Linked DNA regions of Coturnix japonica. The protein of the gene in region 2 purifies or fractionates together with the protein of the main gene of each other region. This does not show direct contact. Links are inferred from orthologs where the notes say so. Each region holds a gene or a part of one and is shown on either strand. Other genes may lie near its edges.

Region 1 (2,987 bases), on a different chromosome or scaffold from region 2:
GTTTCAAGAAAGTTTCCTCCTTCTCTAGAAGAGCATTAAGTATGGGTCCAGCACCCTGCTGTCCCTGGGGATAAGCAGGAAAATAACTTGTTTTTAGATCCCATCGGATTTGGGAATTAACTGAATGCTTAATTACTCAGCCTTGCCCATGCTGGGCATTCAGAGAGGCAGAAGTGTTGAGTCCTGCAGAACTCTGGTTTCAAGTTCAGAGCACATTATGAGTGAGGTTATTCAAGTTCATTGTTTTGAACTTGGGCATCCACTTGCTAGTGTCTACAGTGGATAATCACCTCTTTGCATTCCATGCTTTTTCCCCTCACTTTCAATTCTCTGTCTATAAAAAACCATCACATCACCCACATCTTATTGTAGAAATACTATCACTGAGTTTACCAGAGTGGAAGATGACAACGGGACTGGAGCATCCATCACACACAAAAGAGAAACAGAGCTGGAGCTTTCAGTTTGAAGAAAGGCTCAAGCCAGATCTTATCCATGTGTATAAATAATTGTCAGGAGAGTATAAAAAAGGTTGAACCAAACAATTCTTAGTGGTGTCCTGGGACAGCACAAGAGAAAATGGGCACATATTGAAGTGCAAGAAACTCCATTTGAATGTAAAATAAAGGTATTTTCTTCCTTTTTTTTTACTGTAAACATAGACAAACACCAGAATAGGTTGGCAGACAGTCTGTGGCATCTCCATCCTTGGAGATCAAAACCAAACTGGATGTGGCCCCAGGCAACCTACTCTATCTGACCCTGCTTTGAGCAGGGGTTTGAACAAGGTAATTCCCAACCTCATCTACATCACGATTTGGGGTTGCACTGTCAATCACTAGAAGCACAAAAGGACTTCGGGTTAATCTTTCTAAGTATCAAAAAAAAGTGAAAGGCAAGATTCTTCTCTGCCATCTTGCCAGAGAAATCAGTAACACATCACTGTACCTAAAGACAGTGAATTGCAACAGCACTATTTCCATAGGAAAGTAGACCAGGTAGGGGTGTGATGTTTACACTGATTATAAAACGATCTGTACTTAAAACTGTCTTTAGTCACCAACAGACAAAGGTTATCTGTAACAGACAAAGCTGCACACATTTATGAAATCTTTTCTTTAGATTGTTTGATCCTTCTACTTCAGTTTGGTCACAGACCAGTACTCTTCAGAAATACACTGTCCATGGAAACTCCATGCCTCTCAGTTCCCACTTTGCATGGAGAGTGGAGTCTCTGCTTTTGCTTGCGCTGTGTTTAGGTGTCAGCAAGGGAACTCTTGGCCTCTACATACTCCATTGCTGCTGTCTTAACAGCCATGACAGTTTCTGTTGTACCATATTTCTTCTCATAATCCAGGTAGCGCTTAAAGAAGAATTTCATCTTCTTTGGTGCTAAGTTCAGGTGTATGACCCTCTCAAAGATGTCCCTGCAAAAAAAACAAAGTGATTCAGATTGCTACGTTGGTGACAGCAGTCAACACAAGCCCTGTACCTTGTCACTGAGCAAAGAGCAGAAACTCACAGGAGATTCACCATCTAATGCCTCAAGGAACAGATTCATGAGAACTGATGAAAGCCTCAAAGCAGAAACCCTCCTCGTAACTCTAAAGTTGCAGGATGACTTACACTAAGATCCAGCCATTGTATTTGACCCAATGGTCATGAAATGCCTGCAGCTGGATCTATAGTGTGAGAAGCTGAACTTCCTTTTGTCATCGCAGCAAAAAAGAGACCATTCTCCTTAGTTTCATGTTACAAGAGATAAAAGGGCTGAACCTTACTGTAAGCACTCTAGTTCTGCAGGTCACTCCTTACTATTAATTGCTAACTCTGCCATGCAGATCTCCTTGGAGTCTTCCCAGACCTGGAGAGAACAAGATTTTGTTCTTCTCTATGAGATACAAATTCTCCTTTGCTCTGGAAGGCACTCAACAATATCATGTTGCAGGGCACTTGTGCTCTTTTCGGGTGTTACTTCAAGCATTATACTGTCCCTTTCCCCGTTGCTTATAGCACAACTTACCGTATTTCCTTCTGGCTGCCCTGTTTGATCATGATGTCCATGTAGATGGACCAGATATCTGTTCGCTTTGGGTAGCTGCTGAGAGTACTTTCAAACAGGGCCTTGGCATGTTCTGCGTCACCAAAACGGAACTCCAACTGTGCAAACCTTGAAATGACATCCACATCTGGAACAAGAAATGACATATTAGGGGATCACAGCAGCCCTCATTCCTATGAAGAGAACAGAGACAGCATCATCTCTGTTCAGAGACTAGTGTGTAAAGTGATTCTGGTCTAAGGTGGAGGGTCAGAGTGAAGGAGCTGCAATTTTTTTTTGTTTTACAAGAGTCTTTAGTACTGATAACCAGGCTGAAATTTCCCCTCCTCTTACACTCAAGGAAAGCAGATTCAACACTATCCGGCTGCAGTTTTCACTTAGTATAACCACTGTCACATGCAGAGATATCAGAAGGCAGACCATCTACTGGATACCCACAAATACATAGACCAAGTTACGATTAGCAACAAGTGCTTACGTTCTTTGGTGGGCAGAGCCTTGAGAGCACGCTCCAAAAGCCTGTGTGTAGCCTCAGTCTGGCCTTGCTTCAGGAGGAAAGAGGCGTATTTCAGCCACACTGATTTCTCCTGACGGAAACGCTTCAGCATTGTGTGGTACAATTCTTCTGCTTGCTGGAATGGCAAAGTTGGGTTAGATCACAACAGACTTGTAACAAAGCCCTGTAGCTCATTAGACTATTGCTCATTAAACTCTTGTTCCTGGACCAAGCATCTCTGAACATCTGTGAGAAGTAAGTATCAATAATTCTTCGTCTGATGCCAACCACAATTACTAATCCCAGTTAGGAACAGGACAGGGTTAACATCTGAGAGCCAGAAGCTTATGCAGCCAGGACTGGTGGTTTACTGACATGACAGAACAGGATACTTGCCTGGGAAGTGCTTGCACAATCTCACCTTGTACT
Region 2 (3,531 bases):
GTGTTGCTCTGGAAGCTGGTTTCCTTGCCTAGCAGAAACTTAATGTGTTAATCATCAAGTTAGCATGCTTCATATGCCTTCAGAAACCTGTTACTTCCTTGCTTCATATACCCCATGAAACTCAGTATTTGTCCTTTGTGAAGGTTAGATGTCTGGTAGTTTTTCTGCATCTACTCAAAGAAGGTCAATACACAAATTAGAGTGGGATGATGGGTACAAGCATGGCACCTGAAAAGCACAGTCAGTGCGTGCCTTTCCAAATTGTGAATCAAACTTGGCTGTAGTTGTAGAGGGAGCTCTAAATCAGGGAATGTTTGGGCTGGTTTCAGTTTCGTTTCTGCTTGAAGAAAAAGCAGTGTGGACACGTGCATAGAAACAGTTCAAGATAATTATGGTAATTATTAGCCACTTCTTGTATTGAAGATAAACTCTACAGTAGGTTTCCCAGTATTTCTGTTTTCAGAAAGCTTGTTTTATGCATAACTCTGTATGCAGCTTTGTATGTGATCTCTAACAAAATGAATAATTTTCAGACTCCAGATTCCAAGAAGGACAAAACTCTAACTCCAAAAACACCCAAAGTTCCTCTGACGTTAGAGGAGATCAAAGCAAAAATGCAAGCCTCCGTAGACAAGGTGAGTTTGTTAACTGTGATCAGCCTTATTTTTAACACTTCCAACAGCAGAAGAATGGTTTTGAGAACTGCATGTTACTGCTTGCTGTGCTCTTAACTCAGTGTATATTGATAAATTCGTATTGACACCCAGAAGTGAAAGAAAGATGATTTAGAATAAGCCTCTGCTTGTGAGAAAGTGAGGAAAAATATTTAACCAGTAGTAGTTATTAGTTTTGTATTTGCTGACTGAGTGTGAGGCTGCAGGATAAAAGTGGAGCACAGTAATCACTTGGGGTGATGTTTACTCTAGTGGTACAAAATAGTATTCATGACTTGTGTTTGGGGCAGCTAGAGTAAGGAGGAGTTCTTAGCATGCTTGGAATTGCTTTGTCCTCCAGCAGTATACAGAGTTGATATCCAGAGGCATGTAAGGCTCTGTAACTTCCAGAAGGGGGAGATAGATGCTTGTGATTAAAGCTGTGTTTGGATAGAAGTGCTCTGTCAGTTGCTTGAGTAAAAAGTGTGGTAAGAATCAGCAGTTCTTTTCCCATAAGCCAAGTCTGAATACCTGTGTGCTATGTAGGTTCACTGCAGACAAACCTTTACTTTAGAACAGCTGGAGGTGAGGACCTGACATCACCAGCTGTGGTTTTTTACTTCAGTAACTTAGAACTGCATAAAAATCATGTGTCCTTTGGTGACTGAACAATACGTTTGGAAAGCTGTTTTTGAATAAAGCTGAAACCTACAGTGATGACAGTAAATGGAGAGAGTTTTTTTTTTGTGATTTGAGATGAGCTGTTTCCTCCTTATGCTGACAAGTCACCCAGAGAATCACTATCATGGAATGGTTGGGATAGTTTCAGACCTTGTGCTGTGTGTGAGTAGGGATGTCTTCCATTTTGCAGTTGTTCCAAGCCCCATCCAGCCTGGCCTTGGATGCTTCCAGGCATTGGGGTATCTGTACCTTCTCTGAGCAACCTGTGAATGCTGATAGGATTAGGCTTATCTTGTGTTTAGATTCCTGAAGTTTTAAGGCAGTTTTGTCCCACTAATGCAAAATGCAGCAAAAATTATTTTAGTGTACAGAGGGGTGCAGAGTGAGCAAGGATGGATGGGTGGTGCTTCTATCAGGACAGACATGCGGATCCTTATGTGGTGAACCTGATGCTGACAAGATGTTTTTGAGGTCAGGTTAACCTCTTGGTACAGATGGGTGCTGGGGTGGTTCCTTGAGATTTCATGTTTTTTAAGATGGTGTTTATCTCTATGCAAAATGCAGTGTGGCGTTTAGCTGTAACAGCCAGTGAGTTAACAGCTTAAAGAACAGCTTCCATTGTTTTATTAATGTCATAAAGAAGGTTTTCTTTAGTAAATATTAAGCAGATATCAGCAAGCAAATGAAACCAGTAGATTGCAGGGGTAAGGCATCATCCAGACGACATGAGTGAAGATGCCTGTCCAGGCATTTCAGTGCAGGCACAGTGCTTTGAGAAATACCTGGGTGCCATAGAAAAGCAAACTTAAACCTTTAGCTTTTGGACCTTGCAAGGTGAGTTCAGTAAAATTCCACTTGCGTTGCAGAAGGTTGAAGCTTCAGCAGAGCTGTGGAGCGTATGCGGCTCGTTGCATCATTCCAATAAAGCTTGCTTTTTTTCAAAATAGGGTTGTTCCCTTCCGAAGCTGGAGCCCAAATTTGCCAACTATGTTAAGAATTGCTTCAGGACGGAGGACCAAAAGGTAACTGGATTTATTGAAACCTGATAAAACCCAAAGCCTTTTATAACCTAACCTAGGGATTCTTTTCCACTTCTTAATCTTTACAAGCTTTGGACTCTTTCAAAGGGTTACAAACCACGAACAATGCTTCAAATTAAATGGGAACAGTTTTAAGGGTTTAGTTGGCTAAGATGAGAAAGTTAATATTTTATTACATTTTTCCAGCTTTTATATGGTTGGTAAATTATCTCTTGCTTACCGAACCCACAGAATTTTCCTTTTGGCACCGTATTGGTGAAGGAAATGAGCTGTGGTTTTCCTTGCTGCTGAAGTTGGCCACCTAGGCCAGTCTGCCGCTCAGCCTTTTGTTGGGGAGGGTGTCTGGGAGGGGGAACTGTTTTGCAATTGAGATTATGGCTTTCTCGCCGCGTTTTCTCCCAAAGTCAACTGAACTCTTGTAAGAGGGCAAGCCAAAAGGTGGTATCAGGAAGCAAGCTTCTGTATTAGTTATTACTCAACTTGTACTGGGCTAAAAAGCGTCTTAGATTTCCCTACAGAAATTCCTGTAAGTTGAAAACTTCTCTTCCAGTGACAGAATTCCTTACGCTTTCTTGCTTCCTTCGGTGGTTCAGAGTAAACGTGTCTGATAGGCAAATTGATAGGTTCTTGAAAGAGTGCTTAAAAGCAGTTAGCCTCAGCTACTGGAGTGAGTCTGACATTAGCCAGGGTAGGCAGAGTTCAGCCAATATTTGCCTAGCTGGTCCACACCCATCCTCTCACTTACCTTCACTGGATTTTTATTATTGTGATTGAAGCGAATAACAGCCTTCTAGCAGAAGGATCCGATGTGTTGCTTTCAGCTTAGTTTCCTCTGAAAGAAATGTGGGGTTTTTTTGGTCATTGAATGTCAATATAGCAAAGCGGGTGAAAAATAAAAACCACAACAAGAAATAGATTTCAGTTTCTAACCATTTGTGTACACTTCCAGGTCATTCAAGCTCTCTGGCAATGGAGACAGACTCTGTAAGAGAACCATTTAAACAGTTTGTTAAAGTCTGCAGTCTTACTTCTGTAACCGTTATTTGGCTGTTCTTTTTACAAATGCTGAAAGAGCTTTCCCTACAGTGTCTGATAAATGTCATCCAGATTACCTTGCCAAGAATGTGTTGTCCAAAATGCCTGTTTAGTTTTTAAAA
Region 3 (4,228 bases), on a different chromosome or scaffold from region 2:
ATCTTAGAGGCCTTTTCCAACCTTAATGATACCATGATTGTTTTACACCAACAGGATATTAACAATCCAGCACAGCCACAGAACAAAATCACTTATAATGGGAATTCTCAACATCCATCTTACACAAAAAACAAGAAATCTGGGAAGTTAAACGGTCTTCTGATACCACAACTGCATTACTTCCCAACAGCACATCCCAGAGGGAAATCACAGTTCAGAAGACACAACAAGTCTCTTGCTGAATGGAGAATTTTGAGGGGTACAGCATTAGTACCACAAGTGTCTGAGGTCAATGTGTTCCTTGGCATTCAGTGTCCAAGCAAGTAATAACAAAACAATTCAATTTCAGAGCCTTCACTTTGCAGATTTGAATTGGTTACAGTATAATCCTGATATTCTGAGTCATGTTTTATATGTAATCAGCAGGGGATGTAACCCTGTTCTATAAAGCAGGAAGCTGAAACAAAAGCAGCCCCACTACAATGGCTGGCTTTTAAGTTTAATTTAATTTTAATTTAATTTAAGTTTGTTCAGTGCCTGTTTGTACCATAACAGACCAAAAATGAGAACTACCAAGCAGTATTTACTGTACCTTCGTCATCAATCCACTTGAGGGTAATTGGCTGCTCCTGTTGCAGATAACACATCTCACGCACTTCATTACAAAGCTCATCATAGTTTATTGATGCATCCAGGTTTGTTATCAGGATGTCCCTGCATGACATGAAATCAAACTTCTGTCAGAGATACCTGCATAAACCCAAGTATTCCAACAATTCCATCTATGGATTCCAACCTGCAACACCACACTTACACAATCAGCATTCTTCATATCAAACGCTCCCTCTAACATATGAATAATGATTACTCAAGTGACTGACATAACGCAATGAGAAGGACACGTGTTTCCCTTCTGCTGTGTATTTATAGGCTTATATTACATGATGGTATGAAGCACCACACCCAGAAACACACATACCTGCAGCCCTGGAACCCAGAGATAGACTGAACATAGTTTTATAACTTCCTCTTGCTTAGATTTAACTCAGATTCCCAAGTGATACCATCATTTACTATTGATTCCTATTGGTATTTTATTTAGCATACTATTAATTTCTATACAATTCTTTTAGCAGCTTCCTGAATGAACTCAGCCCTAATTCTGAAGCTTTCCAGCTTGATGTGGAAGAGGCCAAAACTCCACTCAATTCTACACTCAAATGCTGAGTTACTCGGCATTGACCTGGTAAGTAAACTCAACAAGAAAGCACCTCATTCCCAATTAAGTTTGGTGGAATTAATTTCATAATTACATTTAATTAGAAGCCCTTTTTTCCCAGCGTAGTATTAAAAACTACAGTAGCCACATTTGCTTATTTGGGCAGGAAAGTATCAGAGAAGATTATTGAGGCTACTGCCAACACATGCCAGTCATTTCAAGCTAAACACTTCAAGCCTGAAGATTTACTTCAGCCAAACATTTAACTCCTCAAATGACTTAAAACATCACATAAAAACGAGGCAGATCAAAGCAACCAGCTCACAAGGTCCTCGTTGTGGCAGCAAATCAATTAGGTTAAATCTAAAAACCAAACTTCATGCTGAAGCCATAAAGTGAGGCTTCCTGACTCTGTCAACAAGTGGCTGAAGCCATAAGGACCATGACTTGATTTATTGTCTCAAATCAGAGCTGCCAAAACAAGCACTGCAGAGATAACGGAAGCAGCTGCGTGTTAACATTTCATTGCACTACTCAAACTGCTGGGAGGGGAAAGAGGGGGAAGGAGACAGCAAAAATAAAAGGCAGATTAACAGACAACATGCAAGAGTTTACTTCTGGTATTTATTCACAGCAGGAAAACGCGTTTGTTTAAACTTCAGGTGTTTAATTTAGTACAAATAGATCCTCGAGCTGCTTGCACTGCTTCAAATGACTCCACCGTGAGCATCAGGAGCAATTAAGATTCTTCAACTTCTCATTTTTATCTAAATAAGTAATTTTACACCATTTGTGCACGTTTTCCCCACTTATGTCCTTCCTCCAGCAGCACATTGTGGGAATCTGGAGGGGATTTTAATAACTCTAATTACCAGATGTTAACTACAACGACTTGGTTACTCTGTTAGCAGATCAGACTCTTGTTTGACAGGCATCAAAGTTAGGTGGGATACAAGAGAGAGATACAACAGGACACAACAGAGGGATACAACAGGATACAATAGAGAACACACACGGACTCACCCGCTGTAGTGCGCCTTCACCCTGATGCTATCTTTGTCCAGATGCACTTTGGAGCCCATCCTGCTGGGCATGGTCCGTGTTTATCACACCGACGTTACAGATCCTCTCCTTTAAGCCATAAAACTCGCCGTTCCGAAGCAGAACGCATCGAACCTACTGTGTACAAGTAGAAAGAAGAGAGGAAGCACAGTTCTAACAGAGAAACTAAGTTTTCTCCTCGACTTTTCAGCGTGTTCGCCCCGTTTTCCCAGCCCTATTTACCACACAGCCCCATTCCCGGATCCCACCGAGTCCTATTGCGGCCTGTCCCGGCCTGAAGTTGTTTAAAGTCCCGTGTTGAAGTTCGGATCCAGCTCCAACTCCCGGTTCCCCACCCAGCCCGCAGCCCAGTCTCACCCTGTACCTCACAGGGCGGTTCTGTACCTCATAGGGCCGCTCTTTGTACCTCATAGGGCCGCTCTCCCCACACACCGCCCCATATCCCCCTCAGTCTCCCCGCCTTCCCCCCCCTCCCACCCACCGGCTCCTGTAGCAACGGCGCCACCGCGACAAACATGGCGGACTAAGAGGACTAACCCCTCACACAGCCAATAAGATGCCTCCCGCTTTACCTGTCAGCCAATAGCGAGCTACGTCCCACCTGGAATCAATCCCCGCCGCCAATCGTAGGCCGAGGAAGCGTTACCTGGGAGAGGAGTTGTCATCGTGACCAATCAAAAAGCAGAATGGATGAGGAAGGCGAACACCTGCAGCCAATCAGAAAAAAGCAAGCGTTGAGCTGGCAGGTGTGGCGCTGAGCGGCCGCTAGGGGGCGCTGTGCTCACGTGGAGCCGAGCCGCCCTGCTGTTAGTAGCTCCCTTATGTTAATGGGGGAGTGTTTAAAAGCGGAGTTTTTGCATTAAAAAACACAGCCTCATTGAGTTCAATTGGTTTTTCTCTACGTTATCTGTGGGATCAGGAACCGTGTCAAGCGCTGATGGGACAGAATGGTCCCTTTATGAGTGCTGAGATGGAGAACTTCATTATGGGATGAAAGCCCTGGGGTTGGTTTATTTCCCTTATAATGTGTTTGATCTCTCGGTTCAATGGCTGCAAGGTCTATAGGGTCCATTCTATAGGAGCTGCTGTATCCCTATGCTGTATTAACACCCCACATTGATCTGTACCCCGCTCAGACACACCAGGATTGTAAGGCAGGGCTGTAATTAATGGGAGCAATAGAGATACCCCCAGGTCCAGCCCTCATGTGTCTGTATGTCCTTCATGATATCAATACGACACATCCATGTCAGCTCCCACTGACACCAGATTTAGTTCATTTCTATTTATGCCATGAAAATAGAGTTGATGAAGGTTTTGTCCTTAGATAGATAATGGTTTTCAAATGGGGAAAAAACCACCCAAAAACATCTGAAATATCCAGAAGCTTCAGTTTTATTCCCAACCCCAATGGTTACACCACGCTCCTGTACCAAAGTCCCTCCTGTACATGAATCTGAATGGCCTTTATAATGTATGCAGCCACTTTCTCACTCATTACCCTGAATAAGCAGCCACTGTGCACCACGTCAGTGCTTTTATCCTGTTGTCTAATAACGTTAACCCCAACACCATGGATTACTTCATGCTCTATACGCTGTAGGAACTTGCTACCACTATTTTCTCTGCTGTATTTAGACAACCGGTTCCATTTTAGCATTGCCTTACCCTGCAAGGCAGTGAAAATAGCTAGAGAAACTGGGTACAGAATGAACCAATTACCTTCACGTATAAAAGGAGATGCACAATTTTATTCGTTTTCTGAGTAAGATGAAGTTGAATGCTTTAATTCAGTATGTAAGACTCAGGAACTGTGGTAAATAGCAGCACACGGGTACTGCTGGATGCACATACCTAATTGGAGGATGACAGTTTCTGTGTCTCTCAGAAGGTTTTTGCTTCTGTGGAACTCAAAGACTTAGTCAAGAGATCAGTGTAATAATGCCC
Region 4 (4,325 bases), on a different chromosome or scaffold from region 2:
CCATAAAGGGTTTAAGTGCTGCACATCCATATAGTCACCAATCTCTAATCAAATTACGATGCCCAAATTTCATCATCTCACAATTCATGTGTCCTTCCTGAAAAATAATGTCAGGAAAATGCGATCTTCCCATCTAGCATTTTGGTTATGTCCTTATTGAGGAAAATCAGAGAACCACAACAGACTCTTGGCATAAATACAAAAAAAGACAGCAAAGAAAATTTGTAAGCCAGCTTTATTCAAAGTAGATGACTACGATTTAGGCATCGGCAATAGTAACTTCAACTTCTACGCCTGGCTCAATGCTGATGGAAGTGATCTGCTTCACGATCTCAGAAGGGCTGTGCAAGTCAATGAGTCGCTTATGGATCCGCATTTGGAAACGATCCCAGGTCTTGGAGCCTTCACCACAAGGTGTCTTCCTGGTAGTGATGCGCAGAGTCTGAAGCAAAACCATAAACACAGGGTATCAAGCTGATGTACACAAGAAGCCCTTTCTACTTTTATCACGCAACGGTTCTCAAAGCATCAAAGAACGTAGATATGCCATTACGTCTTTATAAAACAACCCTCCATTTAGTAGTATTGCTTTTTATCTCAGCTTTTTTTTTTTTTTTGTTTTATAGACATTTTAGAAACACAACATGGTTTTTATCAGGTTTAAATACCTTGGTGGGCATGCGCACAGGTCCTTTCACTTTCAGGTTTTTCTCCTTAGCGCCTCTGATCAAGTCAGCACAGACTGAAAACACAGAATGGTTTTAGGCTTGTGGATCTTTTGTTTGTTGTTTTAAACAGAGACTTTTACAAGATACGTTGGCTCAGAATAGCGTATTAAATGATCACTGCAATTCAGGTTTAGGTTTATCCTCACAGCCAACAGCATTGACATAAAAAGACTTACAGCAGAAAAACAATCACAACAGCAATAGAAAGTTGTTAGTACCACTTAACCCATATTTGAGCCGCCAGCAACCCAAAAATCAGGCAACAAGTATTGCTTTTACATTTATAATATTCAATTTAAATGTTGCCAACACAGTTCCTAAATGGAATTTATTAATGCCTTACTGAACGTTGAGCTGCTGACTACTTAATGACAAGCATGACAAAGTATCAATGAAGAAAACCAATGCCTTTGGGTTCTCAACACTCCAACAGTAACATCCCCAGAAAAACAGAGGGACAGAAGCTCTCTCTTAGTGCTACTTTAGTTTAAAAGAAAATGAAGTATCACTCACCCTTCTCAAGTGATTTGACATTGCGACTGGTCAAAGTAATTCTGATGCGATGAATTGCTACCTCTTGCTCCACAGGTGCCTTGCCAGTATCTTTAAACGCCTGAAACGTGAGAGAGATCAAACGCTACAATCAGCACCAACTAACACAACCGAAAACGGGTTTGTGGAATGTGAAGTACAATTTGGCTTTGGGACTATGTTATATGCTTGATGTGATCGGGCAGGTACAACGGCACTGTCCAAACAGTGGTAATAAAAGATGATGAGAGCAGTCATTGCTGTGAGAAGCAGTGTGAAGAGTAACTGCTTTGCAGGGTGGAAAGCTTCGGTAACACCTCTGCCTGATTTGCCTACATATAAAGCAGCCTGTCCAGGCACTGATCATGACTGATTCTTGTCCTTCCCTACTAGTCTACCCTGGTGAGGCTGCATCTGGAATACTGTGTCCAGCTGTGGGCTCTTCAGTTCCAAGAAATGCGGGGAACTATTGAAGAGAGACCAGTGGGAGGATACAAAGGTGATTAGAGGCCTGAAGTGCCTCCCTTAAGAGGAAATGCAGAGAGACCTTGGGACTGATCATCCCTGGGAAGACTGAGAGGGGATCTCATCGCTATTTATGAATATCTGAAGCGCAGGAACCAAGTTTATTGGGCAAGATGACTCTATGGTGGTATGCAGCAACAGAAAAAAGTGCATGGTCCAAAACCAGAACACAGGAAGTTTCATACAAACTTAAGGAAGAACTTTGTTACTGTCAGAGCAATGGAGCAGCAGAACAGGCTGCCCAGTGGGGCTGCAGAGCCTCCATCTCTGCAGATACTCAAAACTCACCTGTGTGACCTACTCTTGGGAACCTGCTTTAAAGAGAGCAGGGCCAGATGGCCTCCAGAGGTGCCTTCCAACCCCTGTGTGACTCGTATCCAAACGCCTGTAAAATTCTACCACCCTAACAGCCCCACTATAAATCCTAACGAGGATATCAGCTAAACGGGCACAACTTTGAGCAAAGAGATACATCTGACCAGAAAGCCTGACCGTGCTACTTCTGGCACTGATCTGAAGAGATCAGTGCAATTAAACGTTTGTGAGGGGCTGTATTAAAGCGAACCTATAAAAGGATGGGAAAACACACAGTAAAGAAGCATTAAAAAAGAAAGAAACAACAAGAAGCGCGGCGTTTCTCCGTCCGACCCTCGGGTAAGCTCCTCGGGTAAGAGCCCCCACTAAAGCCAGGCGCTAGAGCCCGAGCTCTCCCCAAGGCGGCCCACGGGGCCGATCGCACACGGCCGCCCCGCAGCGCTCCGCGGCCACACGCGGCCTCGCCCCGCCCCAGCGCCGCGCTTCGGGCCCGGGCCCAGGCCCAGCGGGCGGCACACGGCCGGCAGGGCCCGGCGGATCCACGCGGCGCTGCCCCCCACCCGTTCCCCCCCGCTCCGTCGCCCCCCGCCTCACCATGGCGGCAGCGGGGCCTTCCTGGCCGACTTATTCCCGGGCGGGGCGCGACGCGAGGCCCAGCGAACAGCGGTGAGCCAGGAGGAGGCGGCGAGAGGAGGGAGCTGCGGCGGCGGGCGGGTTATATAGGTTGTATAGGCACCGCCTCCATCCGGGCGCTTCGGGACCTTTCACACCGGGGCCGGCGCCCGGAAGAGGCGGGGGTGGATGTGCTGGTCTGCTGTGTTATGTGGGGTTGGTGAGGGAGATGTAGCAGCACGGCCTGGAAGCTCGTTGGTGCTGCTGGATGAGTGGCGATGCGGGAGTGTTTCTTTCGTTCATGGCCGGGCTTAGGGACTTGAATTTATGCCATTCAGAGGGACCTTGACAGGCTGGAAAGCTGGGCTCGGGTGAACCTAATGAGTTCAACAGCGGCCCAAATGCAATGGTTTTTAGCACTTGGGCCGGAAAGAACCCCAGGCACCGTAAGCAGGCTGGGAGGAGTGGCCCTTAAGAGTCAGTCTGCGCCGGGGTCCTGATGGACCAAAGACCTCAACATGAGCCAGCATTGCGCCTCTGGCGCCTGGAAAGCATATGGATCCTGGGCTCCATCAGGAGAGGGTGGCAGTCAGGGATAGGAGAGGTGATTGGGCCCTCTCTACCTTTGCTCTGTGAGGCCCCATCTGGAGTACTGTGTCCGGTGTGACCTTCAGTACAAAAAAGACATAGAGATTTTGGGAAAGGGTCCAAGAAAGGGCCACGAAGATGATCAGGGGGCTGGAGCACTCCCCTATGAGGACAGGCTGAGGGAGTTGCTTGTTCAGCCTGGAGAAAAGAAGGTTGCGGGGTACCTCATTGCAGCCTTTCAATATGAAGGGAACTTACTCCCAGAGAGGAGTAAACTCTTCAAAAGGGCTCGACAATGCAGGACACGGGGAATATGGTTTTAAGTTAAAAGAGGAGATTTAGGTTGGATGTTAGGGGGAGATTTCTTCACTAGAAGAGTGGTTAGGCTCTTGGGAACAAGCTTGCCCAGGGTGGTTGTGGATGCCCCGCCTTGAAGGTGTTCAAGAGACAAGGTTGGACAGGGCCCTGGGCAAACCTGATCTAGTAAATGTGTATGTTGTGGCCCTGGCAGGCAGGGGGGTTGGAACTACATGATCCTTGAGGTCTCCAATCCAGGTCATTCTGTGATTCTGTGAATTTGTTTCCTGGTTTTATTGGCATCTCTTGAGAGCACTCATTGCTCTCTCAGATAGCGGCCAGCCACAAAGAAAGCGTTTTGCTGCTGCTTCCCGCACGTCTGCTCAGTCTTTTCTGTAATCATTGTGATTATTGAAGAGAGACAGCTTAGCACCTTGATCTAAGCTTAGTTTCACCTGGCACCCTGCCCTTATGTTTTTGTGTTTTCCCTTATCAAACATTTCATGGGTCTTCATGTGATCCTTACGCTTCATGCAACTTAGACAACTTTTGTGTGCTGATGTTGCATTGCAATGCTCAGTTGTGGGCTTGCTGTGCAGTCACAGCCCCTGCACTTGCACTTCATAGCCTCTCACTTACTAAAGGATCAGTTTTAAACTCGATGCTCCATTCTGATAAAGCAGCTTCAATAAATACGAGTACAGAAGCCATCATCCCGTCACAGCTTCC
Region 5 (4,000 bases), on a different chromosome or scaffold from region 2:
TCTCTACTAAACACTACGTAAGAGAAGCAAAAGTAGCCAAAGGTAGAATCAATTTGTGTGCAAAGCTTTTAGGACTATAATAAGGGCAGGAGAAGCCCTGAACCTCAATGCATGGCTTGTTGGTGGGCTCTCAGCTACACCTCTGCCAGATCCAAGGCCAGGGAACAACCCCCCTTGCAGACACACAGAGGAGAAAGCAGCAGCATGGAAGGAATTTGCTTTTTCTTCCTTTATACAATGTTCAGTGCTGGTTTCTCCAGTACTTGTGATGCCCCTCATTCATTTGCACAGCAACAGTAACTTTGGCCTTGTTCTCTCCCTGCCCAAATTACAGGTTATGGCTTTGTGTGCTTTTGGTTTTTTTCTTTTCCCCTCAGAAATAACCAACAAACCAAAAACAGAGCAGGAAGAGCTGAGCACAACTCGATCCCACAAGCAGTGATCAATCTGCCCAGGTACAGAGCATAAGGGCAAGGAACACGCTGGCTCTTCAAAGAGCAAAGAGCCCAGCAACACTCCCCACCTCCCTTCCAAAACCATCAGGAGAAAAGCAGGATATTAAGCACTACAGGGAAGAAATTCTTAAGTGATTAATAGTATACAAACAACACAGGTCAGCTTCTGGCCTTTACAGACTGAAGTATCAGGTAGCTACTGACCCGCAGCCACAAAGCCTGGTAGCAACACACATCCCAGCTCACAGCCAAGGCACAGGCTGCCAGCACCAGGAGCTGTGCCTGGATTAGCTCTTTCCCTTGCTGACGGCGTGGGCAGGAGCTGCAGCAGGCTCAGCACTGGAGTGACAGCTCAGCAAACTCCCTGAGCCATGTTAGTTCAGCTGCAGGGCCACCGGGGAGTAGAGCAAGTGCAATTCTGCACCTTTTGACTCTGACGTCGTGCCTCAAAAATATCCCGCGAGGAGCTTCGTGAGCGTTAAGGAAATCATTCGCTGCATCTTCCTTATAAATACAGAAGATATTAATACTGAGTTAGAAACATAGAATCATTAAGGTTCAAAAAGACCACTAAGATCACCACGTCCAACCTCAATCCATCCACACTGACAGCATCACGTCCCTCAGTGCCATATCCCCGTGGTTCTGGACCACCTTAAGGTTGGGGGCTCCACCACCTCCCTGGACAGCTGTGCCGCTAATAAGAGAATAACTGTATCCAACTGAAATTGCATAGGGCAGCAAGGGGACATAGAGACAGAGTCCTTCTTACATTATGGTGTCTGATAGTTTGGAGGTGCTGCCATACCTGCCATTGGGGTGACAGCCCCCATCCAAAGGCATTCAAGGAGCTCTCCAAAACAGGAGTGCAGCCCTTAAAGGACTTGCAAAACGCAGTCCAAAGAGAAAAGCAAAATGAAAGTAAGAAAAACGACCATCCTATGGAAAAAAAAGAAAGCATTGCTTGGTTCATATGCTCAAGACCTTCTTTGGTCCTCATGGTTTCTCCTGCACTAACATAGAAGGTAAAATGGGACTGAAGGAAGAATTCAGAGCCACTCCTCATGCCCAAAAGACAGCCACCAGTTCAACAGGCTCAGCACGAGCAAAGCGTGGGACCTGAGAAAGCACTTAAACACTTCCTGCACGGAACCAAATCTCAAGGCTGTACACACGGAGCAGCTCAGGCACTGTTAACAACACCTCTGGGGTTCATTAGCAACTGGCAGCAAACAGGGAGTGGAGGGGGGGGGGGGGGGGGGGGGGAGCAAAAGACCGGGTAAAAAATAGGAAGTCAGCAACAGGAAAGCGGGTGTGCTCTCAGCAGCAGTGCTAAGGGCTGAGTCCTGGGGACGGCCACAAGGAACAAAATGAAGGCAGACTGATGGCATCTGGAGCTCTAAGCACGGCAGGAAACATCAAGTTGATGCAGGGCGCAGAATTGTGTGCTATCGCCCCTTTTGTACGATTCAAAGCAGCGATATCCACGGGTTGGGGGGGGTGGAGGATCACATTTTGCAGTACGTTTTCTAGCTCGGAGCCGAGGCCTGCAAGGAGGGGGGGGGTGGGGGGAAGCGGGAGGGCAGCGAGGCGAGAGCGGGCGCCCCCCAGCCGTGCCAGGGCCGGCGCTGCATGGCGCTGCTCAGCCTGCCTTGCAGAGGGAGCTCGAGTCCCGCTCTGCGCCTCGCAGCGCCTCTCCCTCCGCAGCGCACACGGCGGCAGCGCAGCGAGGTGGCGGCAGGAAGGGGCTGCGGGCCGGGCCGGGCCAACAGAACCGCCGCAACGCTCCGCTCCGGCTCCGAAACCCCACGAGGAGCTGGAGGAGGGAGAAAAGAGAGAGCCCCGAGGAGGTGGGAGATGGGGAGGAGGAAGCGGGGGCGGGGGTATGGGGGGGGGAAAAGCAAGAGCGGCCGAACGGGGGGAGCGGGCCGGCGCGGAACGCGGGGCGGGGAGGGAGGGGAGGAGGGAGGGAAAGGGAAGGAGAAAGGAGGGAAGGGGGGGGAGGGGGGGGGCGGCGGTTCGCGTGGCGGGAGGGGGGCGGCCGGCGGGCCCCGGTGGGGCGGCGGGGAGACAAAGGGAGGAAAATAGGCGGCCGCCAGGGGCCGGGCGGGCCGCGGCCCAGCGCCGCGCTGTGGGGAACGGCGGCGGTGGCAGCGGGCAGGCGCGGGCCGCGCTGGGGACGATAGAGGGAGACAAAGCCCCCTGCTTCCCCGGCGGCGGCCGCTGCGGGGCCCCAGCCGGCGCGGAGCCCCATCGTGACACCTAGAGGCCGGAGAAAGCGACTGCAAACCCCCCGCTCACCGCTTACCTGCGCCCGCGCCCCCGCCGGGCTCCGCTCCCGGCGCCGAGGCCCCGCCGCACGCCGCCCCGCAGCCCGGCCCGGGCCCCGCCGAGCCGCCTTTCCCGTCGCGCCCCGCCGCGGCCCGGCCGCTCGCGCCCAGCACCAGCTCGAGGTTTAATCGCTCCACAGTCGCTTCGGACACAAAATGGCGGCGGGCGGGGCGGAGTGCGCATGCGCGAGCGCGGCTGCCGCGGACCGCCGGCTGGAGCGGGGGGGGGAGGGAGAGGAAAGGGGGGGGGAGGGGACGGCGCGCGCGGGGAAGCGGCAGCGCGCGGGGCATGATGGGAGGGAGGGGCGGGGCGGGGCGCGCGCCAACTTCAAACGCGGGCCTGCGGCCGCGGCGTCACCTCGCGTGCGTGTGTGCGTGCGTGCGTCACGTGGGGGCGGGGTCACGTCGCGCTGAGGGGAGGCCGCGCCCCGCCCCGCCCTGAGGGAGTGCGGAGTTCTCCACAGAGCGAGATGGGTTGGGACCCAGCACGGCCCTGCCCTGCAAGGGCTCTAAGTACTCACACACACCACGTCGGGAGTAACTGGCTGCTCATGTTCCATCTGCCTCTTGCTGGGAGCTGTCCTATGGCAGGTGCTGCATGTCCTTTGTGTGAGGAAGCAGAGACACGTTCTCCTGGCCTTTGCTTGGCAGAGATGCCTGAAAGCATCCACCGCTGTGTGCTGGGTACGGCTGAACCCTGGGCCTCGGGTCCCTCCATCACAGGCGCTTTGGAGCTGATTCGCATGGGATCCTTTGCAATGCATTCAGCATCCTGAACATCACCCTCCACGTTACACACCCAGAGGCAGATGTTGCTCAGGCATCAAAATCTGGCTCATTTCTCAGGCTTGAGACTCAGGTCACAGCTTGTGATGCCCCAAAGAGGCAGCGGCTCCTTGGGGTTGTTCTGCTTGGTGTTCTTGGGGTCACTGAATGTGATGTCCTGAGCTTTGCCAGCCCTAATGCTCCCCAAAGAGAGGATGTGTTGGCTGGTTGTTATTTGCTGGTACAAAAAGGCTGTGCACTCCTTTATTTACAAGGGAAACAGCAGTAAATGGGGTGAAGGAAAAAGCTTCTCAGAGCATGTGAGTAATGTAACCATGACACAGACACCTTCCCACGGGCTGCAGCTCCTGCAAAAAAGCAAGTGGCTGCAACAGTCATTGGTGCTGCTGAGCAGCACATCCGTGAGAGGGGTTTGAAGTGCTGACACAT
Region 6 (3,444 bases), on a different chromosome or scaffold from region 2:
AACTTTATGGCCACACCTGAGCGTGCCTTGGGACTGCCTGTGTGCTGATGGCACAGCCCCGGGGCGTGTTGGGGATGCAGAACTCAAACAGGGTGAGTGAAATCAACAGTGCAAATGTAACTGGAAAAGCTGTTAGATGGAATCATCCAGAGGAAAGGAGCAGCAGCTGACTGCAGGCCAGCACAGGTGGATATATATACAGAAATACAGCCATTTCTGTATTTCAGGCTGCAGGAAGCTGAATGGCACGGTTAAGTTCAGCTAACAAGAACGTGTTTCTACAGGACTGCCTGTATTGGGGAAGATCTAATAACAGTGTTTGGAGCATCCATATATTTCTTACCTTTATCTTCTTTTTAGTTCTCTTTTCTGCCTCCGCCTTCATTTCTGCAGTGATCTTAGGAACAACCCTTATGCCATGAGGTGACGGCATCACTTCCACCAGCTGTGCCTTTGTCACCTTTTGCTTCCCTCCTTGTTTCCCTCCTTTTGCCTTTAAAGGTTTGCCAGTTATCCCTGCCATTTCATCCTGCATTTGCTTGGCTTCTACCGCCTGCAGAATCAAACATAAAGTAACACAACCATGAGAATAAAAGCCAGTGTCCTACTGGAAAATACCCCAGCCTCCTTGGTGGTTTGACTGCCTGCCCCCCAGCACAGTACTCCTACCCTATCCTAGGAAGGCAAAGAAAGCTTTAACTCCTATTGGAGTGAACCTAATGCAAGACATACAAATTTCCATCTGTTGTTTCCTTTGTATGGCAAAGAATTCAGTTAATAACTGGATAAAGCTACAAGGGAGCCAATCATCTGTTCAGAGCACTGACGTACATCCAGCTCTTCAACAAAGGCAGCAAGGTCTTCTTTCCACAGGTCAGAGGGGCTCTTGCGCTTCAGGTCTTCCAGCTCCTTTTCCTAAAGTGAATGAGAATCGTGGGTGAGCCGCATAGTTTAACCCATCATAGAAAAATAGAATGCTTTCATCAGAAAAATAAGGAGCATACTTTGTTATCTCTCTGCTTGCAGAGCTCATCTTTCTTCTCCTTAGTCAGGTACCAAAGGGGCATGTTCAGAAGATAGTTGAAATCCGGCCCCGTAGCTGCAGCTGGTTCCTGGTCACTCTCATCTCCTTCTTCTTCTTCCTCCTGAATGAGAATTTAATCAAACATTGTCAGCAAATACAGCCACATACAATGACAGGGCTGCCATGTGCTCACAGTGTCCTGGACCCTCTTAAAGCACAATTCTGAAAAGGATACAGAAGGAATTATGGCCTGAAAGCTGCTACCACACAGAGGAGACCAACTGCAAAGAATTCTTTAAAGCTCTTTTGCTCTGCCCTATTTGGCCTCTGTCTTGAGCAACCAAGTTCTTCTCAGGCTGCTTAACAATTGCCATCGTCCTTGCTGCCCTTTTACAACAAGTCGCTCAGGAAGAGCAGATCGCTTGAGGAGCACTGGAAATGGAAGCAGCAGGACTTTGCCACTGCTGGATCAGTCACCACTCTGCCTCAGTGCCTTCCAAATGAGAGACTGAACATTTCTTTGTCTCGCTTTCCCTATCAGGCACACCAGCTCTTGAATTCTCCAAATGGCAAAGCAGCTTCTGCTTCTTCCTAAGAACTGATAACGAATTGATGACTGAAGTGCTACCTTGTTTTGCAATTCCTTCCAGGCCTTCACTGGATCTGATTCATATCCTCTTTGGATAAGAACTTGAATCAGTTCTTTCTTGGGTTTGTTTTCTGTGAAGAGACATTTCAGAATTGCCAGTTAGTGACCACTGCAGTCCCTGTCAGCAAAGACAAATGACCTTCACATTTTGACTCCAGTAGTTAAAACAGTTCAGCATCCTATACAGCTCTAAAACAGCCTTTCCTAATTCGAGCTGGGACACGTGGCAGGTCCTAAAATAACACCCAAAATTTGCTATTTAGGAGCGATTTGTTAGCTCAGCATTTCTCCTGGGCTGTCAGGAACACCTGCTGGAGCACTCGAAACATTTGCTCCATCATTTCCGTACATGCATTTCCCCTGCCCTAAACAGACTCTGAGTTTGGGGAAAAAAAGGAAGCGTGATGGGATCAGAATGGTTTTATAACAGGCAGGTGGGGGAAAAAGCCCTGATGTGACTTCAAGGCTTCAGCATAGTGTGAGCCTCATTGGGCATCACTTGGGAAATCTATTCTATAAATGGCCCAGCCAATGGTAATGCGTCAGCTGGAATTTTCTTCTTTCTGATGTCGCAGAGGCAATCATCCGTGAGACACAAATACAAATGAAACCAGCTCTGTCAGCCTTGGAACTGCTTATTGCAGCAACCCAAGGAAACGCATTGCAAGGGAACGATTTCCCTTCTTGAGTCAAACAGACACAGACTGTAGGAACACTGGGCAGCCCTCAGACACGAACCACAGAGCATCCCATGACCCATTGTGCAGCTGTGCCTTCCATACATGCAAGTGAAATACAGACTGCCTTGTAGGCTGAGCTGGAGCTGGCTGAGAAGTTCAAGTGCTGTAAACAAAGACCTGTTTCTTTTTCTAGCTCATGATGCTCAGATGCTGTGAGCTTGGCTGCCTTCTAACTTTGAAACTCCACTTCACTGAGAACACAATTTGGAATATTTTGCAGTTTCATAAAGATAACACAGAGAAGATACAGGCTCCTAAGAATGCACGGGAACAGAAAACCCAAACCAACTGGGAACCCCCCCCAGCCCCCCACACCAGCACTTCTTTTCCTACATTTATACTTTTGAAGTAGTGCAAATACACAATAGAAAACCTCTGAGAGTGCTCTGTTTTAATTTATATGTGCATAACACTACAGAGGATGTTCCGTGAAGCATTTTCCTCTTCTATCTTACTAGAATGGAAAGATAAGCTCTGATGTGTTTTGTGAATAGCCAGACTGGGGCTGAGAGGGCGCTGACAGAGCTCAAGAGAGCACCTAATTCTCCCAGTTTCAAAAGCCAAAGAACCAAGAGCAGCACGTACCGATCACAATTTTGCCATCTATTTTCTCCAGGATGAATCGAGCCTGGTTGCTCAGCTTTGCAGACTCGGCACCCAGCATCCCAATAAGCCACTCTTTCCTTAACCCATAGTACCGGAGCCTGAGCTCAAAGAACTCTTTAAGGATGTCCTGAGGAGACTCGTACTTCTTGAGGAAACCAACATGGTCGAAAAGAACCTGGATGAAAGAACATGGGTTTTGTGAGCATAAAACTGATCTTCAAAACCACTGAAAGTCAGTTGTAACGCAGACATGATCCTACAGTCAACTTATTTATTAACCAACCCATTTTAAACCTTAGTGTTGTTTCAGAAATTATTTCAGCTTGCAAGCACAGCAGCAGAGACCATTTTAGAACTTAAAAACACAGAGCTAACATCACTTCAATCTTAAAGCTATTTGTTGGATCCATTTCTTGCATCTAACA
Region 7 (4,233 bases), on a different chromosome or scaffold from region 2:
TACTTCTGGGGTGGGTCCCCACTTTTAGGGGGGTCCCTACTTTTTTGGGGGTCCCCACTTTTGGGGGGGAATCGCCACTTTGGGCTGGGGTCCCCACTTCGGGGGTGTCCCATCTTTTGGAGGGTTCCCACTTTGGGGCTGGGGTCCCTACTATTCGGGGGGGGGTCTCCACTTCTGGGGGGGTCCCTATTTTTGGGGGGGTCCCTACTTTTATAGGGGTCCCTACTTTTGGATGGGAGTCCCCACTTTGGGCTGGGGTCCCCACTTCGGGGGTGTCCCATCTTTTGGGGGGTTCCCACTTTGGGGCTGGGGTCCCTACTATTGGGGGGGGTCTCCATTTCTGGGGGGTCCCTATTTTTGGGAGGGGTCCCCACTTTTGGGGGGTCCCTGCTTTTGGGGGGGTCCCCATTTCAGGGGTGTCCCATTTTTGGGGGGTTCCCACTTTGGGGCTGGGGTCCCTACTATTGGGGGGGGGTCTCCACTTTTATGGGGGGGTCCCTACTTTTGGGGGGGGTTCCTACTTCTGGGGTGGGTCTCCACTTTTGGGAAGTCCCTACTTTTTTGGGGGTCCCTACTTTTGTGGGGGAGTCCCCACTTTGGGCTGGAGTCCCCACTTCAGGGGTGTCCCATCTTTTGGGGGGGTCCTCACTTTGGGGCTGGGGTCCCTAATATTGGGGTGGGGTCTCCACTTCTGGGGGGAGTCCCTACTTTTGGGGGGGTCCCTACTTTTGGGGAGGAGTCCCCACTTTGGGCTGGGTTCCCCACTTCGGGGGTGGGTCCCTACTTTTGGGTGGGTCCCTACTTTTGGGGGGGTCCCTACTTTTGGGTGGGGTCCTCACTTTGGGGCTGGGGTTCCTACTATTGGAGGGTGGTCTTTAATTCTGGGTGGGTCCCTATTTTTGGGGGGGTCCCCACTTTTGGGGAGGTCCCTACATTTGGGGGGGGTCCCCACTTCGGGGGTGTCCCATCTTTTGGGGGCGTCCTCACTTTGGGGCTGGGGTCCCTACTATTGGGGGGTAGGGTCTCCACTTCTGGGGGGGTCCCTACTTTTGGGAGGGGGTCCCCACTTTGGTTGGAGGTCCCTACTTTTTTGGGTGTCCCCACTTCGGGGGTGTCCCATCTTTTGGAGGGGGGTCCTCACTTTAGGGCTGGGGTCCCTACTATTGGGGGGTGGTCTCCAGTCCTGAGGGGGCCCCTATTTTTGGGGGGGGTCCCTACATTTGGGGGGGTCCACACTTCTGAGGGGGTCCCATCTTTTGGGGTGTTCCCACTTTGGGGCTGGGGTCCCATCTTTTGGGGTGGGTCCTCACTTTGGGGCTAGGGTCCCTACTATTTGGGGGTAGGGTCTCCACTTCTGGGGGGGTCCCAACATTTGAGGGGGTCCCAACATTTGGGGGGGTCCCCAATTTTGGGGGGGGTCCCCACTTTTAAGGGGTTCCCTACTTTGGGGCTGGGGTCCCTACTATTGGGGGGTAGGGTCTCCACTTCTGGGGGGGTCCCTACTTTTGGGAGGGGGTCCCCACTTCGGGGAGTGGTCCCATTTTTTGGGGGGTTCCCACTTGGGGCTGGCCGGTCTCCTATTATATATGGGGAGGGGGTATCCACTTTTAGTGGGGGGGTCCCTACTTTTGGGGGGAGTCTCCACTGTTGGGCTGAGGGTCCCCACTTCAGGGGTCTCCATCTTTTGGGGAGGTCCTCACTTTGGCGGTGGGGTCCCTAGACTATTGGGGGGGGATCCTCCACTTCTGGCGGGGGGTCCCTACTTTTGGGGGGGTCCCACTTTGGAGCTGGAGGGTCCACTACTTCTGGAGTGGGTCTCCACTCTTCTGGGGGGAGAGTCCCAACACTTTGGGGGGTCGCTCACTTTTGGGGCTGGGTCCCTAATTATTGGGGGGGTCCATTACATTTGGGGGGGGTCCCCACTGCGGGATGTCCCATTCTTTTGGGGGAGGTCCACTTTGGGGCTGGGGTCCCTACTATTGGGGGGTAGGGTCTCCACTTCTGGGGGGATCCCTACTTTTGGGAGGGGGTCCCCACTTTGGGCTGGGGTCCCTAGTTTTGGGGGGGGGTCCTCACTTTGGGGCTGGGGTCCCTACTATTGGGGGGTGGTCTCCAGTTCTGAAGGGGCCCCTATTTTTGGAGGGGGTCCCCACTTTTAGGGGGTCCCTACATTTGGGGGGGTCCACACTTCTGAGGGGGTCCCATCTTTTGGGGGGGTCCTCACTTTGGGGCTGGGGTCCCTACTATTGGGGGGGGGATCTCCAGTTCTGAGGGGGTCCCTATTTTTGGGGGGGGTCCCCACTTTTGGGGGGGTCCTATTTTTTGGGGGGTCCCCATTTCAGGGGTATTTTTTGGGGGGGGGGTCCTCACTTTGGGGCTGGGGTCCCTACAATTGGGGGGGGGTCTCCATTTCTGGGGGGGTCCCTATTTCGGGGGGGGTCCCCACTTTTGTGGTCCCCGTTATGTGTTATGGGGGTGGGTTCCGTTTCGGGCCCGTCCCGTTACCACACGAGCGAAGGGCCGTCGGCGCAGCAGCAACGCGGTGCTGCTCTGATAGCGGCGGATCTCCTTCAGCGCTCTCTGACCGGGCCGATACCGGCGGACTAAAATAAAGGCGAAAAGACGGGATAGAAAACAAACAACACCCCCCTCTCAATCCCACCCCCCCCATCGCCGGCTGCACTCACCGCGGGGTCTCCGGGGGGTCGGGGGGGGAGCTGTGGGGGGGCGGCTCCGGCGCCGCGGGGAGTGCGGTTTAGGCCGCGGCATAATGGCGGCCGCCGGAATTCGAATCGCGCGCCCTGGAGTGACGTCACATCCGCTCAGCGCTCGGAAGCCGGAAATGGCGCTGAGCCGCTCTAGGCTGCGGGAGGGAGGGGGGTAGACTCTATGGTGGCTCGGAGGACTGTGCGTTGATTAAAGCCGTTCTGATCCCAGTTCAACCCATTTATAACCCATTGTGATCTTTTTTGACCGGATGGGCCTTTTATGACCCAGTGTGATCCAATCTAACCACAATATGATCCCAATTGTGCTGCTTGTGCACCTCTGGCACAGAGAAGAGAAGGTTGCGGGGTGACCTCATTGCAGCCTTTCAATACCTAAAGGGAACTTACCCCCAGGAGGGGAATAAACTCTTGGAAAGGGCTGACAATAGCAGGACACGGGGAAATGGCTTTAAGTTAAAAGAGGGAAGATTTAGGTTGGATGTTAGGGGGAAGTTCTTCACTAGGAGAGTGGTTAGGCCCTGGAACAGGCTGCCCAGGGAGGTTGTGGATGCCCCGTCCTTGGAGGTGTTCAAGGCCAGGTTGGACAGGGTCATGGGCAACCTGATCTGTGGGGTCTCTATGGGGTCTATGGGGTCTCTATGGGGATCTATGGGGTCTCTATGGGGATCTATGGGGTCTATGGGGTCTCTATGGGGATCTATGGGGTCTATGGGGTCTCTATGGGGATCTATGGGGTCTCTATGGGGATCTACGGGGTCTATGGGGTCTCTATGGGGATCTATGGGATCTATGCGGTCTCTATGGGGATCTATGGGGTCTATGGGGTCTCTATGGGTATCTATAGGGTCTCCTGGGCAACCTGATCTAGTAAAGGTGTATGTTTGGTGGCCCTGCTAGGCAGGGGGGTTGGAACTACATGATCCTTGAGGTCCCTTCCAACCTGGGTCATTCTGTGATTCTGTGGCACAGCACTGATTCCCTCCTTCCAGAAAAAGGGAAAACACATTAAAATCTACATGATTTGCGGAGAGATCACCATGAGGAAATAAGTGAGAACTGCTCTTTAAGAAGAAAATAATAACTGGAAAGCCCCAAGCTCCCGAGCTGCTTCTGCCCTTCCTAAAGCATCAGAGGACACTGGTCAGGAGAGGCAGAGAGCTGAATCTGTTCCTGATTCATGGGCTGTTGCTCGTCTGTGCACTGTAGGTGTGTTGTAGGGTCTTTCCTTCACAGCCAAACGAATTACATTTGATCTTCCCTCGTTCTGTCTTCCCAGTATTATGCTGCACACTGGGCACGTGCAGTGCTGCAGTTAGGATGGGAGAACCTATGATTCTATGATCTCCTCTGCTGCACGGCAGCATGATGTAGATGTGCCCCGCATGATGGCAGGCCAGTACATCACCCCTCCCAGCTGCATGTGCCCACAGCTGTGAATGTAAACACAGCCACACAGCCTTGCCTGCTGCATTCAGAATACCTGAGGATGACTGCAGTGAAGAGA

What was found.
Region 1: the proteins of NPM1 (region 2) and PDCD11 purify together in Homo sapiens (affinity purification with mass spectrometry; 3 studies listed by BioGRID and IntAct, with this or other methods). This does not show direct contact. The link is inferred for Coturnix japonica from reciprocal best matches to the Homo sapiens genes NPM1 and PDCD11.
Region 3: the proteins of NPM1 (region 2) and PRKCZ purify together in Homo sapiens (affinity purification with mass spectrometry; 3 studies listed by BioGRID and IntAct, with this or other methods). This does not show direct contact. The link is inferred for Coturnix japonica from reciprocal best matches to the Homo sapiens genes NPM1 and PRKCZ.
Region 4: the proteins of NPM1 (region 2) and RPS20 purify together in Homo sapiens (affinity purification with mass spectrometry; 3 studies listed by BioGRID and IntAct, with this or other methods). This does not show direct contact. The link is inferred for Coturnix japonica from reciprocal best matches to the Homo sapiens genes NPM1 and RPS20.
Region 5: the proteins of NPM1 (region 2) and CTCF purify together in Homo sapiens (affinity purification with mass spectrometry; 6 studies listed by BioGRID and IntAct, with this or other methods). This does not show direct contact. The link is inferred for Coturnix japonica from reciprocal best matches to the Homo sapiens genes NPM1 and CTCF.
Region 6: the proteins of NPM1 (region 2) and TOP2A purify together in Homo sapiens (co-immunoprecipitation; 3 studies listed by BioGRID and IntAct, with this or other methods). This does not show direct contact. The link is inferred for Coturnix japonica from reciprocal best matches to the Homo sapiens genes NPM1 and TOP2A.
Region 7: the proteins of NPM1 (region 2) and CENPA purify together in Homo sapiens (affinity purification with mass spectrometry; 4 studies listed by BioGRID and IntAct, with this or other methods). This does not show direct contact. The link is inferred for Coturnix japonica from reciprocal best matches to the Homo sapiens genes NPM1 and CENPA.

The regions. Positions count from the first base shown.
Region 1 is NC_029521.1:20,696,290-20,699,276, reverse strand, and holds the end of PDCD11 (protein RRP5 homolog), read right to left. Parts: coding exon 2,980-2,987; intron 2,695-2,979; coding exon 2,541-2,694; intron 2,190-2,540; coding exon 2,024-2,189; intron 1,428-2,023; coding exon 1,256-1,427; 3' UTR 528-1,255; downstream 1-527. UniProt on the Homo sapiens protein: Essential for the generation of mature 18S rRNA, specifically necessary for cleavages at sites A0, 1 and 2 of the 47S precursor. Directly interacts with U3 snoRNA. Involved in the biogenesis of rRNA.
Region 2 is NC_029528.1:13,578,401-13,581,931, forward strand, and holds part of NPM1 (nucleophosmin), read left to right. Parts: intron 1-533; coding exon 534-635; intron 636-2,281; coding exon 2,282-2,356; intron 2,357-3,323; coding exon 3,324-3,362; 3' UTR 3,363-3,531. UniProt on the Homo sapiens protein: Involved in diverse cellular processes such as ribosome biogenesis, centrosome duplication, protein chaperoning, histone assembly, cell proliferation, and regulation of tumor suppressors p53/TP53 and ARF.
Region 3 is NC_029536.1:1,556,733-1,560,960, forward strand, and holds the start of PRKCZ (protein kinase C zeta type), read right to left. Parts: upstream 2,823-4,228; 5' UTR 2,763-2,822; intron 2,399-2,762; 5' UTR 2,314-2,398; coding exon 2,243-2,313; intron 715-2,242; coding exon 593-714; intron 1-592. UniProt on the Homo sapiens protein: Calcium- and diacylglycerol-independent serine/threonine-protein kinase that functions in phosphatidylinositol 3-kinase (PI3K) pathway and mitogen-activated protein (MAP) kinase cascade, and is involved in NF-kappa-B activation, mitogenic signaling, cell proliferation, cell polarity, inflammatory response and maintenance of long-term potentiation (LTP).
Region 4 is NC_029517.1:100,555,783-100,560,107, forward strand, and holds RPS20 (40S ribosomal protein S20), read right to left. Parts: upstream 2,827-4,325; 5' UTR 2,697-2,826; coding exon 2,694-2,696; intron 1,342-2,693; coding exon 1,242-1,341; intron 880-1,241; exon of another isoform or gene 815-879; intron 743-814; coding exon 669-742; intron 443-668; coding exon 260-442; 3' UTR 217-259; downstream 1-216. UniProt on the Homo sapiens protein: Component of the small ribosomal subunit. The ribosome is a large ribonucleoprotein complex responsible for the synthesis of proteins in the cell.
Region 5 is NC_029526.1:1,462,687-1,466,686, forward strand, and holds the start of CTCF (transcriptional repressor CTCF), read right to left. Parts: upstream 2,813-4,000; 5' UTR 2,764-2,812; intron 2,306-2,763; exon of another isoform or gene 2,069-2,305; intron 948-2,068; exon of another isoform or gene 880-947; intron 1-879.
Region 6 is NC_029542.1:4,094,077-4,097,520, forward strand, and holds part of TOP2A (DNA topoisomerase 2-alpha), read right to left. Parts: intron 3,195-3,444; coding exon 2,999-3,194; intron 1,745-2,998; coding exon 1,653-1,744; intron 1,146-1,652; coding exon 1,005-1,145; intron 916-1,004; coding exon 832-915; intron 554-831; coding exon 344-553; intron 1-343. UniProt on the Homo sapiens protein: Key decatenating enzyme that alters DNA topology by binding to two double-stranded DNA molecules, generating a double-stranded break in one of the strands, passing the intact strand through the broken strand, and religating the broken strand.
Region 7 is NC_029531.1:53,049-57,281, forward strand, and holds the start of CENPA (histone H3-like centromeric protein A), read right to left. Parts: upstream 2,818-4,233; 5' UTR 2,770-2,817; coding exon 2,688-2,769; intron 2,604-2,687; coding exon 2,506-2,603; intron 1-2,505. UniProt on the Homo sapiens protein: Histone H3-like nucleosomal protein that is specifically found in centromeric nucleosomes. Replaces conventional H3 in the nucleosome core of centromeric chromatin that serves as an assembly site for the inner kinetochore.